Lepisosteus oculatus: one gene and its partner. The protein of the gene in region 1 interacts with the protein of each later gene in a pairwise test. Links are inferred from orthologs where the notes say so. Each region holds a gene or a part of one and is shown in the gene's direction. Other genes may lie near its edges.

Region 1 (7,333 bases):
GCTGGACGTTCGTGTGGTACAAAGACGGGGCGCCAGTGCAGCAGCTCGGCACCGTGGGGGAGGGGAGGTACACACTGAGGCCCGCCCTGCCTCACCACGGTGGGCAGTACTCCTGCCAGGGCCTGCGGGCACGGGCCTGGCCGCAGCGCAGCCTGCCGAGCGAGCCCATCAGCATCCGCGTGACCGGTAAGAACCAGCAGGGCCACGATTCCTCCCTTTCCTCTCCTCGGTACCCATCCTGGCAGCTGTACTTCCTGCCAGGAGGCTGGCTCCTGTTCCCCAGACTCCCAGCTGTGAGCACTGTCTCCCGGTCTCGTGCCGCGTGCGCTGTGTGGTGCTGCAGGCCCAGCGCGGGTGACCCCGTGACACAGCGCGATTGCGGGATGAGTGAGGACAGTGGCGTCAGACCTGCCACAGGAGCTCGCTGGTGGCGCAGTAGCTGATGAATTAGAGAACTGGGAAGCGCTGAGAGGGGGTTGGCGTCTCAGGGCTGCAGGGTGGTGGCTGGTGGGGCTGGCCCAGCGGTCAGGCCTGCCCTGAGCTTGTGCCTCCTGCCCGCAGGCGGCTGGGTGATCCTGCAGACTCCTCCACAGCCGCTGCTCCGCGGCGCCGGAGCCACCCTGACCTGCCGTGTCCGCGGCAACCCCAGGCTGCAGCAGGTGGTCTTCCACAAGGACGGCCGGGTGCTGGCGAGGCAGAGCGGCCCCCAGCTGCACCTGGCCAGCCTCTCGCCCCGGGACGAGGGGCTCTACGGGTGCCGGGCCACCTGGGGGAAGAGGTGGGGCTGGAAGACTGCGGAGTCCCCCGAGGTCGGCGTGTCCGTCAGAGGTGAGCGCGTGGCCGATCTCAGATGCTCTCCAGAAAAGAGCAGCGGCTCATTCTCATGCCGCCCCAGCTGCCCTCTCTGACCCTGTCCGTCTGCTGACCAGACCTGCTGAGCGAGCCGGTGATGGAGGTGCTGACGGAGACCCCTGTCCGGCGGGGGCAGGACCTGGTGCTGCGCTGCCGGGCCCAGCTGACCCCCCGCAGGCCGGGCCTGAGGCTGCGCTACAGCTTCCTGAGGGGCGGCCAGCGGCTGGGCGTGGCCTCGTCCCAGGACCGCCACGTGGTGCGGAGCGCCGCCGCCCGCCACTCGGGGCGCTACTGGTGCCGGGCGACGGTGGACGGGCTGGGCCTGGGGAAGAGCAGCGAGCCGGTGCTGGTGCGGGTGATCGAGGGTGAGTCCCCAGGGCAGCTCGGCACCAGTGGACCAGGAGGTGGCGCTCCAGTGTGCTGTCCGAGGACACTGTGCCCCCACTCGGTTGAGAAGCTAGGCCTGGGCCCTGACTATCCCCCGGCCCTTTTCAGAAGAGTAGGAGTGTTAACCCTGGAGGCCGGGCTGGGGTTCTGCAGTCTGGCCCAGTAAGGTCACTTCTCAGCCTGATTGGGTGCCGAATCACCAGGCGTGGCCCCACAGGAATATGAATTCATTTCCAGAGAGAATGAGAAATTAAAATGTACTGGTCTGCCTGACACGCTCGGCCTCCTCCTGCTCACCTGTGCTTCATTCACAGACGAGGAGGCCGAGCTGGAGTCCACAGGGCCCAGCAGACCAGAGCATCCCACGGACCCCACACAGGCCCAGAACTCTCCCGGCAGCAGCCAGAGCCCGTCGCCAGAGACCTCGCCGTCCAGCTTCTGGAACCTCACAGAGTCCTCAGCATGGGAGGCCATGACCCCAGGAAATACAACTCTGTAAAGATTCCCTTATTTCAGCAGGGACTCTGCAGAGGGAGTTCAGCACCAGCACAGTGATAATATGCAATCACTGACATAGTACATCAGACAACTTCAGTGATTCATACTTTTTTGCAAGATAATTGGAAGCAATTAACCAACATCAATGCATAGAGGCCTAGAGGCAGTGGACCTGGAAAGATCTGTTAACCAGCCAGTCTGTCCTTTTAAAGTAAGTCAGAGACTTTGATTATTATTTCCGCATATTAGAAAATAATAGAAATACCTTTCTGCATTCCTCTGTGTTTGGCAAACCAGGAAAAGAAATTGAATTACAGCATTAACAACAATAAACGAAAATCTTGCTTTGATTCTAATCTAATGTTTGTTTTGGATTTCTCTTCAACTGTCCAGCTCTTGGTACTGTGTGGTGTAGCCCTGAGGATGAGCCTGGCTCTGCTGGTGCCAGTCAGGGGCTGGAGATGGGTGTCGGAAACTCTGAACTCCGTGTGTCTCTGATGCACAGGCCACTGGCCTTCTGCTCTCTCTGTTGCTCTGCTGGTTTACGTGTCCCGGCTCTGTTTAATAGAAGGCCTGCTGCTGGCTTTGCTCAGAGGCATAGTGACTGTGAGGATATTTTAGATGAAGCCAAAACACATGCCCATGTGTTCATGGGGATATCCTGTGCCTAACTGAAGGGAAATCTGACCTAAAGAGGAGGGAAAATTGAGTTTTCCGGATCAGAAGATGAGCCAAAATGAATCCCTGGGAACTATATATGTTGTTAATAATAATGTAATAATAATAATAATGTTTCTTTATTAGCCCTATACAATTTCTTGCATTAGGAATTCGTCTTTTCACATACCCCAGCTTTTCTCCAAGGAGACACAGACAGGGAGAGAAGCTTGGGGTCAGAGCGCAGGGTCTGCCATTGTACGGCGCCCCTGGAGCAGTTAGGGTTAAGGGCCTTGCTCCGGGGCCCAACGGAGTAGTCACAGAGCCACTGCTCCGCCCGATTTGCTTTATGCTTGATATGATACGATATGATATATGCTTTCGGTGTTGTTACTTTTGTATCCCAACAGAAGCGTTTATTGGCGGGAGGGCTGTTGATCAAACGTGGGTTTTAAAACAGTAATGACAAGTCCAGGGCCAAGAGCAGAGACTGAGCTGCGAGCAGAGCAGTGATTATTGGGTTGAGCACGGAGGGTGGATTCCAGTTGTCATTCCCAAGAAAGCCTACAGGGATCCTCCCTGCGAGTGAGAGCCGAGGTCCCGATGGAGCTCACCTCACGAAACGCTTCAATTAGCCCGCGGTCACCTGAGACGTCAGAACCGGCTCGTTGATCAAGGCTCCCCGCAGCCAGAGAGGATGATCCGGCTGCGCGCCCCCCCCGGGCATCCCGCATTTAGCATGTGGGTCACTTCCCCCTGGAGAGCAGGGGAGACCTCCTGCGTTGCAGAGCGAGGCTCCTCCGCGGGGGCGTCACGGCAGAGCCGAGCCTGGAGCATCTCACCTCCGCCAACCCCTTCGCAAGGAACGCTTAACGTTGAGCCCAGCAGGCACCAGGCTCGAGGCTGGACACCCCCAGGACACACACAGGGAGAATCCGCCTGCTGTTGTACCCGGGAGGAAACCCAGGAGAACATGCAAACTCCACACGGAAGGCGCACCAGGTCACAAATCAAAGCCAAGACCCAAGACCTGTGAGACAGCTTTGCTAACTATTGCAATTATGACACTCATATATGTCTCAGCTGTATTTAATGAATACACCTAGTAATTTTATTAATATATTGAAGATTAAGGGTGCCTATAATTTTCCATTATGGAACTGCGTTTCAGTTTGCTGCATACTTCCTTCAGTTAGGCGCAGCTATAATAATATACGTAGCTTGTCTTCAATTTCACGTGTTGGCATGTAAGATTAAATGATAAAGACATTGATATTTTTGCAATGTTGTGCCGATCTAAAGGGATTTAAGGTGAACCGACGTTCGCATGCGAGCACCGTTCATGTTGTTTATCTCTCTCCGCACTGTCTGTGGTTATGCAATGAAGCGCGCTCACACGGAGACCCCAGGACCCCCACCTGTGCAGCTGGGGTGACGCGCAAGATTTGAGGACGCTTCGAACCCGCCTCTCCTGCTAACGGAAGCGCCTCTAATCCCTTTGGCTGTCTGACGTCTTTCTTTTCCCTACCCCAATTCCTGAGGAGAGCCTCCTCATTACTGTCTGGGCAGGCCGCGGGGGTGTGGCTTCAGCGGAAGCCGCTGTGATTGGATACAGATGGAAAAAGTACCAAGGCGTCGGTGACTGGCTTGCGCTCCACTCTGAAAGCCTCTCGGCACCTGACCAATCGCAGCGGAGATGTGTCACGAAAGCCACACCCCCTTCACGCCCACCAGACCAGGGGGCGTGTCCCCCGAGTTCAGGGGGAGGGGAAAAGCGACGCGGCCCTTCTGCGACGCGAGATCCCGCCCCCTCTTCTCTCTGCCATTGGCGAGCGAGGATTTCAGCGGCTTCCGGCGGCCTCGCGAGAGAGAGGTGGGGGGGGCGAAACGGTCTCCAATGGTGACCAGTAGCTGTGACTGGCGAGGGGGAAGGAGAATGGAGGTGGGGTGCAGGAGCTAACGTTTAAAAGATAGGAAATAACGGCAAAACGAGCGCTTAGGCGTTGTTATTTTCCCACCAGCCCGTTGTGTGTGTGTGTGTGAGAGACAGGCGGCGGGGTGGGTGCTCAGCGCTCCGCCCTCACCTCTGCAGAGCCGCGGCTGACCGCCCGGCTGGGCACCTCCGAGCCCCGGCGACGTAAGTACCGCTCTCCCGGCTCCCTGCATGCTGCCCAGCCCGCCTCTGGACCCGGCCAGCGTCCTGGGCAGTGTGGGGGTCCGGGTTTTCCAACACCCCTGCCCGCGTCCAACCCACCGCCAGTCCTCCAGCGAGTGCCCAGCCTCTCGGCACCCCCGGGAGGGGAGGGGGCTGCGCTTCGTTTAACATCTCAATGAAGTTTGTTTTGGGTCCTTTCTTCAGTAGCAACGAGTTAGGCACAACTTGCAGAGAGCAGGTCTCCCCTGAAGGGCAGGCGGGCTGTAATTTGCTGGATAGCTAAAGCCAGACGCAGCAGGTTTCGGAGGAGCGCTGTGTCTGGGAGCTGCCTGGGATGCACCTCAGGACAGACCCCCTGCGAGACTCCATACCTGCAGCGTTCAGGGCCGCTCGCAGACGGCCCTGTCTTCTTCATTTTGGGTCTCTGCATAGGCGTGGAGAAGGATTGCTAAGCCTGTTTCATGGTTTGCCAAACACAAGCCGCTCAGGTTAGATATTTCCCGATTTACCCCCCACAATTAGAATCCCCAAAATGGCGAAAGGCATCCGCACGCTTCGTGTTTTGAAGCCACGTTTTCAGGCTGCCGTGGGTAAAATACATTTTTGTGGAGGGATGAGTGTGATCTAACGCAGAGCTGGCAGGTTGCAGTCTCAGTGGTGCCTGAGACCTGCCCGCATTGTCGTTACAAATAGCCTTGTGCCTGAGTCCGAATGCGCTTTACGTGCTAAATCTCGTCTGAAACCCTGCAGACCCCCAGAAATCTGGCGGCAGGTGTTTGAGCTCCTGCCCATTTCCCAGAAGAATGGACGTCTGGGCTTTCGGAGGGCTCTGACCACAGTTTGTAGCCATAGCGCTTTCGAGTGATTACAACCCTCAGAGCCAACAAGCAACCCTCATAAATAAAAATAGGGGCGAATCGAGGAGCTGGAGAATCTCTGCCTTTTTAAGCAGTCACATGGAAGGACTATACCATTTTGAAAAGAGACTAAGTAATTTAGAGACAAGAAATAAATTATATAATGTGAACAGGTTGGTATACTGTCAGTATCCCAGAGGTATTAATCTCTAGAGGTATTATGGTAAGGCCCTAAAGAAGTGCAGAAGGCGATGCCATTTTCACCGTTTCTCTCTGACACTGTGTATCTTGTAAGTGCACTAAGCTTGAAAATGTTTTCCGTCACGTATTTACTCTTCTAGATATACTGTACACTCAGAATGTGGTTTAAAGGATCAAATAGCTTGTGTTCATTCTAATTTAAAATCCTTTGCAATATGAGGTTTGGATGGTGGCTTGGATAGCATGCCAGTGCTTGGAAAGTTTAAAGAGCCTATTTTGTCTTAACGTTTGTTAAAGGCAGACTTCTAAGTCTTATTCAGTAATGCTCTTTTCACAGGTGTTGGGTTGAGCGGCTTTTTGTTTTCCACCTGAGGATACCAAGCAGGTTGAAAACCGTCTGAAATGGACGAGCAAAGTGTGGAGGTGGGTCAGAACGTGGGCGTCCGTGTAGCAGGAAGTCCTGGGTCTGCCTGCTTTGTGAGTTAAAATGAAGAGCTCTTGCCTTTACCTTAAGGGTTTCTCATTTTCTTTAAACCTGAGTTTGAACCTAAACTGAGTTTGGGTGCAGGTACAAACCCCAGGGCATGTCTGCAGTAGACTTATTAGGTGGATATCTTGGTTATTGAAGAAGCAGGTGATGGACTCCCCACACTCCCCTTTCTGACTGTATGCAGCCTGGTGGTTCTGTGATTTTAAACCTGCCCACTCCCATGACAGCTTTATTTCAAACTAGCATTTCACTCTTCTGAATACAGTGAGCTCAGCCAGCTCTTTAACTGGATTGGGGTCTGACCTTAATGAGAATTGATTTCATTTGCTGTGCTAGTATGAGTTATTTGAAGGTCTTAACAAGTACCGCCAGGGTTTGTTTTAAGTGTCAGTCATTCCCTTTTGCAGATGATGATAAGAATCCTTTTGTTAGTATTTTACCTTGGTTAGATAGTGTTGTTCATTTTAAAGTTGGATTTGCTGTTATCAGAAGAGCTCTGCTGCAGTCCCAGTCTGAACACCAGGACAGCATGCACAGCTTCTCTGAAATCTACACACAGAAGACCTGCTCTTCTCAGACTGTCAACTCTTAAAGCTAATGGAAATGCTGGTTAATTGCCATGGCAGAAAGCTCAAAACCATGTGCAAGTTTGTGCATTTGTAACCTAACACCTCTTGTCCAGTTATCTTTACTTTGCTATGGGTTCATGTTAGTGTAAAATGTGCGCCAACAACCTTGGGACAGTGGAGCCCAGCCTGCACTCCAGGTGGTGGCTATATCAGATTGAGGGAATTTCCCAGCATTTCATATAATGTATATCCACCCCATTTGGAATGGTGTGTTGTGTTTAAGACGGGACTCTCCAGCCATGACTCCTGTACCCCCTCGGGAGAATGAATGAGATGCATGGGTTTGCTCCTCCGTCGAGCCCACCAGCTGAGCCAGCTGTCCTTTGGCTCCACAGACCCTTGCAGGAGGTTTGAGCCTCTCAGAGGAACAGTCAGCCTCCAGCCCATATCACTGCCAGCCTGCAGGCTCCCAGCAGGTTGCAGGTGTGGCCCTTGGTGCTGGGAGAGCCCAGCTCACCAATACTAACCCTGCAGTGTCAGCGCTCACACAGAGACTAGTGGCAGAGCGGAGCATGGAGCTCGATCTGTCCTCCTAGGTGCTGCCTGTCTGGTGGAGCCCTCCTGGAAGTGTGGAAAAGAAGAAAAAGCATAGTCATTCAGCAGCATA
Region 2 (7,894 bases), on another chromosome or scaffold:
GTGTTTCTTTCTCTTGGTTCTTTATTTTTAACCAGTTTTTGGTCATTTTAATTTTCTTAAAAACAAGACAGATATGTGTTATTTCTGTGGTATGTTGAAGACCATAATGATTCTTCATGAGATCTTAAAGTGCTAATTGTGTGCCAGTTTTTTCTTTGCTCAGCTATTATGTTGTGTAATCAGTCCCACACTATAATGCTATAATTGTTAGTTAAATAATAACTGAAAATTATCTTTCTTTTTAATTAAACCAGGTTTTACTTGGCGAAACACAGTGGTCGACAGCTTACACTCCAGCATCATATGGGCTCTGCTGATTTAAATGCTACTTTTTATGGCCCGATTAAAAAGGTATAATTATATTTCTATAATTTGTAATATCTAGACTATTCTTTTTCTAAAGTGTATGTTCTGAGCATAAAACATGTTGAAAACCCAGGTCTTTATAACAGATGTTTATATCTCTGCTCTATAGTTGTGTAAAGTGTATATTTAATACATTCTTTTTATTTCAGGAGGATGGTTCAGAGGTCGGAGTAGGAGGAGCTCAAGTGACAGGATCTAACACCAGAAAGCACATACTACAGGTTTCAACATTTCAGATGACAATTTTAATGCTCTTTAACAACAGAGAAAAATACACATTTGAGGTAAGTTTCTCATCTTGCACGCAGGCTGTTTTGACCTGCCATAAATTCATTGGTTCATAATTCCTTGTCAATTACTAGAACACTACATTTCAAATGCAAATCCAGAGGTCATGGAACCAGAGGACAGGAAGACATTTTTACAGTTATTTTATCTTGATTAACTTGAAATGCTGGTAATGAGCTGAAGCAAGTGTTTAAAATCTAAAATGGCGCCACTGCTTACACCCTGTTTCCATCCACTTAGGGCTTATTTTCTGTGTGCTAAATGTCTTTGTTGGTGTTTGTGACATCAGGAAATTCAGCAGGAGACGGATATCCCTGAGAGAGAACTTGTCAGAGCTCTTCAGTCGCTGGCATGTGGAAAGCCAACACAGCGGGTCCTTACTAAAGAGCCCAAGTCGAAGGAAATTGAGAACGGGCATGTGTTTACAGTCAATGATCAGTTTACTTCCAAATTGCACAGAGTAAAGATCCAAACAGGTATGTAAACAATCTTAAATAGCTTTTAGGAGGTTGTTTTAATAGATTTGTTCGGCATACAAAACGTGTGAACTGTACTCCAAACGTACTCCATGTTATAAGTGTTTTTTTTTCAATAATTGTGGGATGAAAATGTTACGTACTAGCCGGATTTGAACATGCAGGTTTCCTCCTTCTACATTTCACCCGCCTTGCTACTGCCTAAAAAAAATAAATGGGATTGTACTATAACAGGTAAATTGTTCAAGCTCATCAGTAATTGAGGACATGTATTGAAATCATCAGAATGTATGTAGATCCTGGTGGGAGTTTTTCCCGGTTGCCAGCTCTGAAGGCTCACACGTGGTCTGCTGAGCACACTCTATTCTCTTCTCAACGTGTATCCATGTGGGTCCAGGCCATTACAAAAACGTGTCAAAGTAATGAGACGGGCATCTGCGTTCCCTTGTCCTGTTTCTACTTTGTTTCGTTTCTGACCGGGATCGGTTATTGTCTTTCTGTTCTTCTTCAATTCATCCAGTTGCAGCCAAACAAGGAGAATCGGATCCTGAAAGAAAGGAAACGCGGCAGAAGGTAGACGACGACAGAAAGCATGAGATTGAAGCTGCCATTGTACGCATCATGAAATCCAGAAAGAAGATGCAGCACAATGTGCTAGTAGCAGAGGTGGGTTAAAGAAGAGTAAGGCTTATGTTTTAGTTGTAACTGGTCCACTTCAAGACTGCATGCAGAAGGCAATAAATGCATTATGTTATAGAACAACCGGAACATAAAATCATTAATTTTATTCCTAATTTTCTAATCAGTAGTTGTATGAAATGCTATGATTTTATTAATTTTGATGATCGGAAACTGATTATTAAAGTTAAGCCATTTCATTTTTTTTATTCCCACAGGTGACTCAGCAGCTGAGAGCGCGTTTCTTACCAAGTCCAGTTGTCATTAAAAAACGAATTGAAGGACTTATTGAGAGAGAATATTTGGCGCGAACACCCGAGGATCGTAAAGTATATACTTATGTAGCATAAAGTGCATTTGATGAGACACCATTTTTGGACTATGTTATTCGCATGAACTGGGAAGTTCCTTTTAACTATAAATACTGGGACGATGACTTCTCCTCCATTTAAAAAATAAAAAAAATCCAGTAAGTGTTCTAGATTGTTTAAATCAGGCCTTTATTCCCTGTGAGAATTTTCAACATGAATGGATCCAGCTTCAGGCTTTTCACCGTTTTACCCTTGTAGAGATCGACATTAAAGAATTCCTTGGGAAAAATGTGAATGCACCGCATTTTGTTTTCAATACTGTAAAAAATAAGAAAATAATAAAAACTAGCAAACGTGGATTGCTATTAACACAAATAAAATAATTGTTGATTTTTTTTCTCCCCAGTTTTTAATGTCAATGTAAATGTGTTTTCTTAGTGTTTCGTAGCAACTCGCTGGTTGTACAGGTTTGATGTCAAACAGGATGAAATTCTGCTTCAAGGGTTTTACTCCAAATGATGAATATATATAACAATACTTTTATTGCTGATTTGCAAAGAACAAGGGAATTGCTTTGTAGCATGCTATATTTTATGAATCTGAGTATCTCTTACACTAGCTCTGAGTTTTTGGTGGGGCCTCTTGTGAAATTTCAGCACAATATTGCTTGTTCCTTTTGATATTAGGTTCTTCCAAATGCAATTCTCAATGGGTTAGGTTTTTCTGACATTTTAAAAGGAACCAAATTAAAACTGTTTTAATGTGTATAAATTGTAAAATAATTGTTATTGTACTCACTGCCGAAGTGGATTGTACAGGGCCTTGTTTTCATCGTATTAAATGTAGAAAAAGGAAATTAAAAAAAAGTGGATTTACTGTTCTTTCTTTAAAACTCTTATATTTAACAAGCACAGCAATCAAAAACAGTGCTGTTATTTCAGTATAATTCAATATGTTTTTAATTTTAAATTATTTTACCATAATAAAGAAAAGGAGTTCTGAAACTAGTGTTGAATGCAGTTTTTAGCGCAGTTACTATAGTTATCTACAGACCACTTTGGATCTAACATGAAAACTTACTGGGGCCCCAGTGGCTCTGTTGACTAAAGGCCAAAATGATCTTGGGTTCACGTTGGGGTGATGTCACTAGTCAGCTGCTGAGGACTCCCCAAGATGTGGCGCACAATTGCCTGAGCACTGCTGAGGGTAGGATGGGATTAGGTGGCCAGGGCTCTGTTTTAAATGACGCAGGAACCCTTCTGGCCTTCTGGGCACTTACAGGCATGTGGTGAATTCCACCAGGCACACACCTCTTCTCCATTTGGCGCTAAGCTTCCTGTAAGGGGCGGTGTTGTGTGTTGCTTGTGATCTGTAGCCTCCTTCCTCTTCCCTGGTGTGTGGCCATGGTGCTTGTAGCTGTGAACCAAGAAAAACACATTATTCCTAAATGGGGGGAGTTTTGCAAAAAGGATGGGCAACTCTAAATAGACGTAACTCATATTTCAGAACAAGAGTAGTCTATTTTTTCTTCACATTTGCAGTGTAACCAAGCAGTGCAGAACTGCAGATCGACTACTCATTTCTTGACTGTTAAACGGTCTCTTTTAGATTTAATGAACTTCCTGAATTGTCCCTCTAAACAATGGTTATATTTTCCACAGCAAGCCTTTCTCAAGTTAAATATTATAATGAACTGTAATATTCAACATATTGTAAATATATGCATCTCTAGAACACCCAATACTACTGCAGAAATACTGTAAGAAAGTTTATCTAGATATGTCTTTTCTACATCAGTTGCTCAGACTGACCTTTAATGTTGTGTATGAATTCATCACATATCAATCGCCCCATATACTGTCCATGAGAAACATTCAACTGATTTTGAAGTTTATTAATTATAGCTTGCAACTTTATCCTTACGTAGTTTTTCTTATTTTGTAATTTCTACTTCAGTTGTCTTTATCATTCAAAATATTTATGATAAACTGCGAAAAGAAAGTTACACTGGAAATCAATTTTTTGTACTGGTCTTTGTAGATATCTGCTAAATTTCAGGTCTCATTTTTGAAAACTTCTGTATACAATGTTTACTACATTCTGATTATTTGATTATGATGATTTCTTTCAAAACTTACCAAATTGAATTTGGTACAACTTTTAATCTGAGTGATACAATTATTAAGTTATATAATTAAGATAACCCATACATGAGATTATGAAACTATATAAAAGTAGTTTTTAGGAACAGGTTTGTTGCCATCATTTCACAAGAACAATATTTTGTATACAATCAGATTATTTGCATTTCTCGATGCATGTTTTGTTCTCCCTCTCACGCTACCCTGCTCTCAAACCATTTCCTTCTCCTTTATAGTGAAAGGAAATAAAAACTTTGAAGTAACTAAATTGCTCAAATGAGTCTCGCCAAAAACCACCACTCTGTTATGCGTAAACAAGACTTTTAATTGTTAATGAAAAGACCGAGTTCAGGCAGTACTTTTCGTGAAAGGGAGGTCTTTTCAATATAACTCGTTTATCCAACTCAAATTGAATTCCTTCTTCGGCTAGGACTTGCCCTGATTATTTCTGAACAGTCGTTTCAGCCCATCTAGCAGTGCCTCCTGGCATAAAGGCATGTATCATCTAATTTTTCACAGTAAGCACCTCGCATTAAGGGTTTCATTTTCCCCGATTTAAAAGTGAGTGGCCCTTTCCACGCTGTCAATAATAGAGGGTCATGTGAACATACAGACGGTGTCCTACGCGGATCAGCCGAGCACAATACAAGTTCGCTGCTGCTCTCGGAAACCTATTGAACCCCGTCTCGGGCTACTCTTTGTCCTGCCGTCCGAGATGAGTGCCATCTGGCGCACGATAAGGAAGGCAGATGCATGCACCGTAGGAGGAGTACTCTGCGATCTGAAGCGGTTGTGCGCTTCAGTTTCTGTGCAGCCGAAAGGCTCTTCGTCGGCCGCCCAGCGAAAACGTGCGGGCTGGAGCTGCCAGCAGCTCTCATGTGACGGAAATCGGGGAAAGCAGTAAATGGAAGCGGGGGATGCATGACGTCAGGGCCCTGGGTCCAGGTCCGTCCTGAAGAAGAGCGGAGTGGCGTCTCATTCCATGAGACGGCAATGTGTTTTTAGCGCATTATTTTTCTGCAAGGCTTGGTGCGGGGAGGACGTTGTAGACAATGCTACGGAAAGGCAACCGAGGCGAAGATGAATATGCCGATTCCGGGGCAGAGACCGCCGAGTAGGTGAATTTTGGTAACAAGTTTCTGTTGTGACTTGAACGTAAGCTTGGTTTGTTTCTTCGTCTCTAAGCGGATCTGTCGTGCGTTGCTCTGCCTTGAAAGATGGTGTTGTCCTTTAAACGGAAAGCAACAGTGTACTGTGTCGCCCTTGAGGCTGCCTAGTTACAAGCACATTAAAACAAAAAGCAGTTCACGTTAGCCCAGTTTGTGTATTTTGCGGCAGGATTATGTCGTACTTTTAAACAAGATTACTTCACAAATAGTCTAATTAAAATTATACTTCTGAACTGTTTACACTGCGCTGTCGCGAATTTGGACTTGACTGAATAAAACAGTCTGCGTTTTTTTAAAACATCTTCGTTTATTTAACAAACAGGTGTGGGTTTTTTCTTTCGTTTTACGTAGGTTTTTATCGCGCTTACATATATCCTAAATCAAATCGTATTTCAATGTAGAGGGATATGTGTGGATCACGTCTTTAGTATTTTTTTTTATCGTTGCGTGGGTTTCTGTCGGACTGGTCCTGGTGCTTGACATTCAATGACTTATGCATCTGAAGAAGAAAAAAAAATGCATTTATTTTCTTACATACACTTGAAATAAAAAGTTTAGATATTTTCCACTTCACCTTATATAATAAAACTTGCGGCGTGTTTAAACATTCACACCACCGTTTTCGTGCCATAAACTCCACTGAGCAGGGGAGTGTAAACAAGAGTTGTCCTGGTAACCTGAGCTATTCAGCACCCCTGCAAGATTGAGGCGTTGAAACAATCCGCGTTTTCTTCCTTGACATTTTTAGGTTACTTTAAAAGAAAAAAACTTAAACCTTTAGTTACGATAACGGGGCTTAAAAATCCACAGCTCTTGATTCAGTCAGGCACAGGCAGAAAAATACGAACGGGGGAGGATTGCTTTATGGTTAGGAAGTGCTTTTATTACAAGACTGGTTTGGTTGCTGTAGACTTGGACGACACAGTTGTGAACTGAGAAAATACCCCACCCAAAGGCAAAGCAGTAATTGACTTATTGTTTGAAGAAGACAGTTGTAGAGCTCTGTGTTTAGTTGATATTTAAAATGTAAAGTTTAATTTGAGTTTAAAGTTAACGGAACTGGTAACATGGTTCTCAATAAACCAACCTTATTCTGGTGGGTCCAGGAACGTACTGAGCAACACAAAGATTGATCTAAAACCAGCACTTACACGTAAATGCTTATACTTACCCTTTTGAGGAACTGGGGGTATACAGTGTAAGAACTCAAGGCTGGTTGCTGTACTAACAGGAAATCAAACTGACAGGACTAACTTAAGTAAGGTTAGGGTAAAGCAGGTGGATGAATGTAAAAGAAATACTGTTGGTTATGTATTTGTATCAGAAAAGATGGGTAGGAAAGAAGCAGTGGTGGCAGTCAGACTTTACATTAAAAATAAACCGCAAACTAGAAAACATAAGCAAGAGGGTAAAGGTAGTTTTGACTCGCCATGGATTGAGCTACAAAACAGAAGTTCAAAGAGTGTAACAGTAAACAAGTGTCTTCTATAAACTAATGCTGACATGGGCACAAGTATCTTACTGTTCTATGAAATCAGTAATGTACGTAACAAAGGTGATGTTATATTACTGAGAGAATTAAATTTTCTACACGTACAATGGAATATTGTGATGAAGAATGCAAAAGCTGAGAGTAGTATGTTCAAATGATTAATGGTTGCTTCTTAACCCACTTTGGAAAAAGCTCAAACAAGGGAAAGTGGTCTTGCAGCCTTTCAAACAAGCAGGATATAGTTAATGGAATAGATGTGATAGATCCAGTGGAAAATCATAACTGTAATTGGATATCTTTTGAAGTGTAGTTTAAATTTCCAAAACTTATAAATTCAGAAAAGCAGACTACACTGGAATGAAGCAGAGCTTGCAAGCAGTGGGCTGAAAACAACTCCATTCAGAGTCAATAGAAGACAGATGGTTATACTGTATTTTAAAAATCTAGTTTGAAAGGATCAAAATGAATTCACCTCTGAAACAGCACGGTCCAAGTCCAAAGGCCCAAAAGTATGGGAAGTTTGGATGGTTGGCAAATCTAATTTAACTTCTAGTGCAAAATGAACCACTCAGGAAGTAGGAACATACACTGTACACCTCAAAAGGAAGGTCCTCAGCTACAGGATGCTACACATGAAAGGGATGTGGATATTTATGTACAATCTTCCAAGTGCTCATCAAGACAATGTAGGGAAGCATTAAAAAAAAAAAACATAATGCTTGGCTTTCTAGCTAAAAGTGTGGAATTAAAGTCGAGGGACTTGCTCAAGATTGGCAGTGCCTTAGAAGGATCTCATTTGGAATAATATTCGACTTTGGCCACCATATCACAAAAAGAAAGAGCTTGGAGAAGAATGACTCAGGAGACAGCTTAGATGTTAAAGGAGATATACCACTTGTGTTTAGAACAGAGGAGAAGGAGAGGAATTGTGGTCCAAGCACAGTATACGGAATCCTAAGGGGTACAGATAGGG

Evidence for each region.
Region 2: the proteins of trim37 (region 1) and protein FAM124B interact in a two-hybrid assay, tested with the Homo sapiens proteins (2 studies listed by BioGRID and IntAct). The link is inferred for Lepisosteus oculatus from reciprocal best matches to the Homo sapiens genes TRIM37 and FAM124B.

The regions. Positions count from the first base shown.
Region 1 is NC_090721.1:715,580-722,912, reverse strand, and holds the start of trim37 (E3 ubiquitin-protein ligase TRIM37), read left to right. Parts: upstream 1-4,227; 5' UTR 4,228-4,531; intron 4,532-5,944; 5' UTR 5,945-6,009; coding exon 6,010-6,084; intron 6,085-7,333. Other genes in the region: high affinity immunoglobulin gamma Fc receptor I-like, read left to right, coding at 1-186, 562-828, 930-1,217, 1,554-1,738. UniProt on the Homo sapiens protein: E3 ubiquitin-protein ligase required to prevent centriole reduplication. Probably acts by ubiquitinating positive regulators of centriole reduplication.
Region 2 is NC_090708.1:6,845,215-6,853,108, forward strand, and holds the start of protein FAM124B, read left to right. Parts: upstream 1-4,871; 5' UTR 4,872-5,312; coding exon 5,313-5,374; coding exon of another isoform or gene 5,375-5,378; intron 5,379-7,894. Other genes in the region: cul3b (cullin-3b), read left to right, coding at 255-351, 516-650, 944-1,130, 1,651-1,796, 2,027-2,158.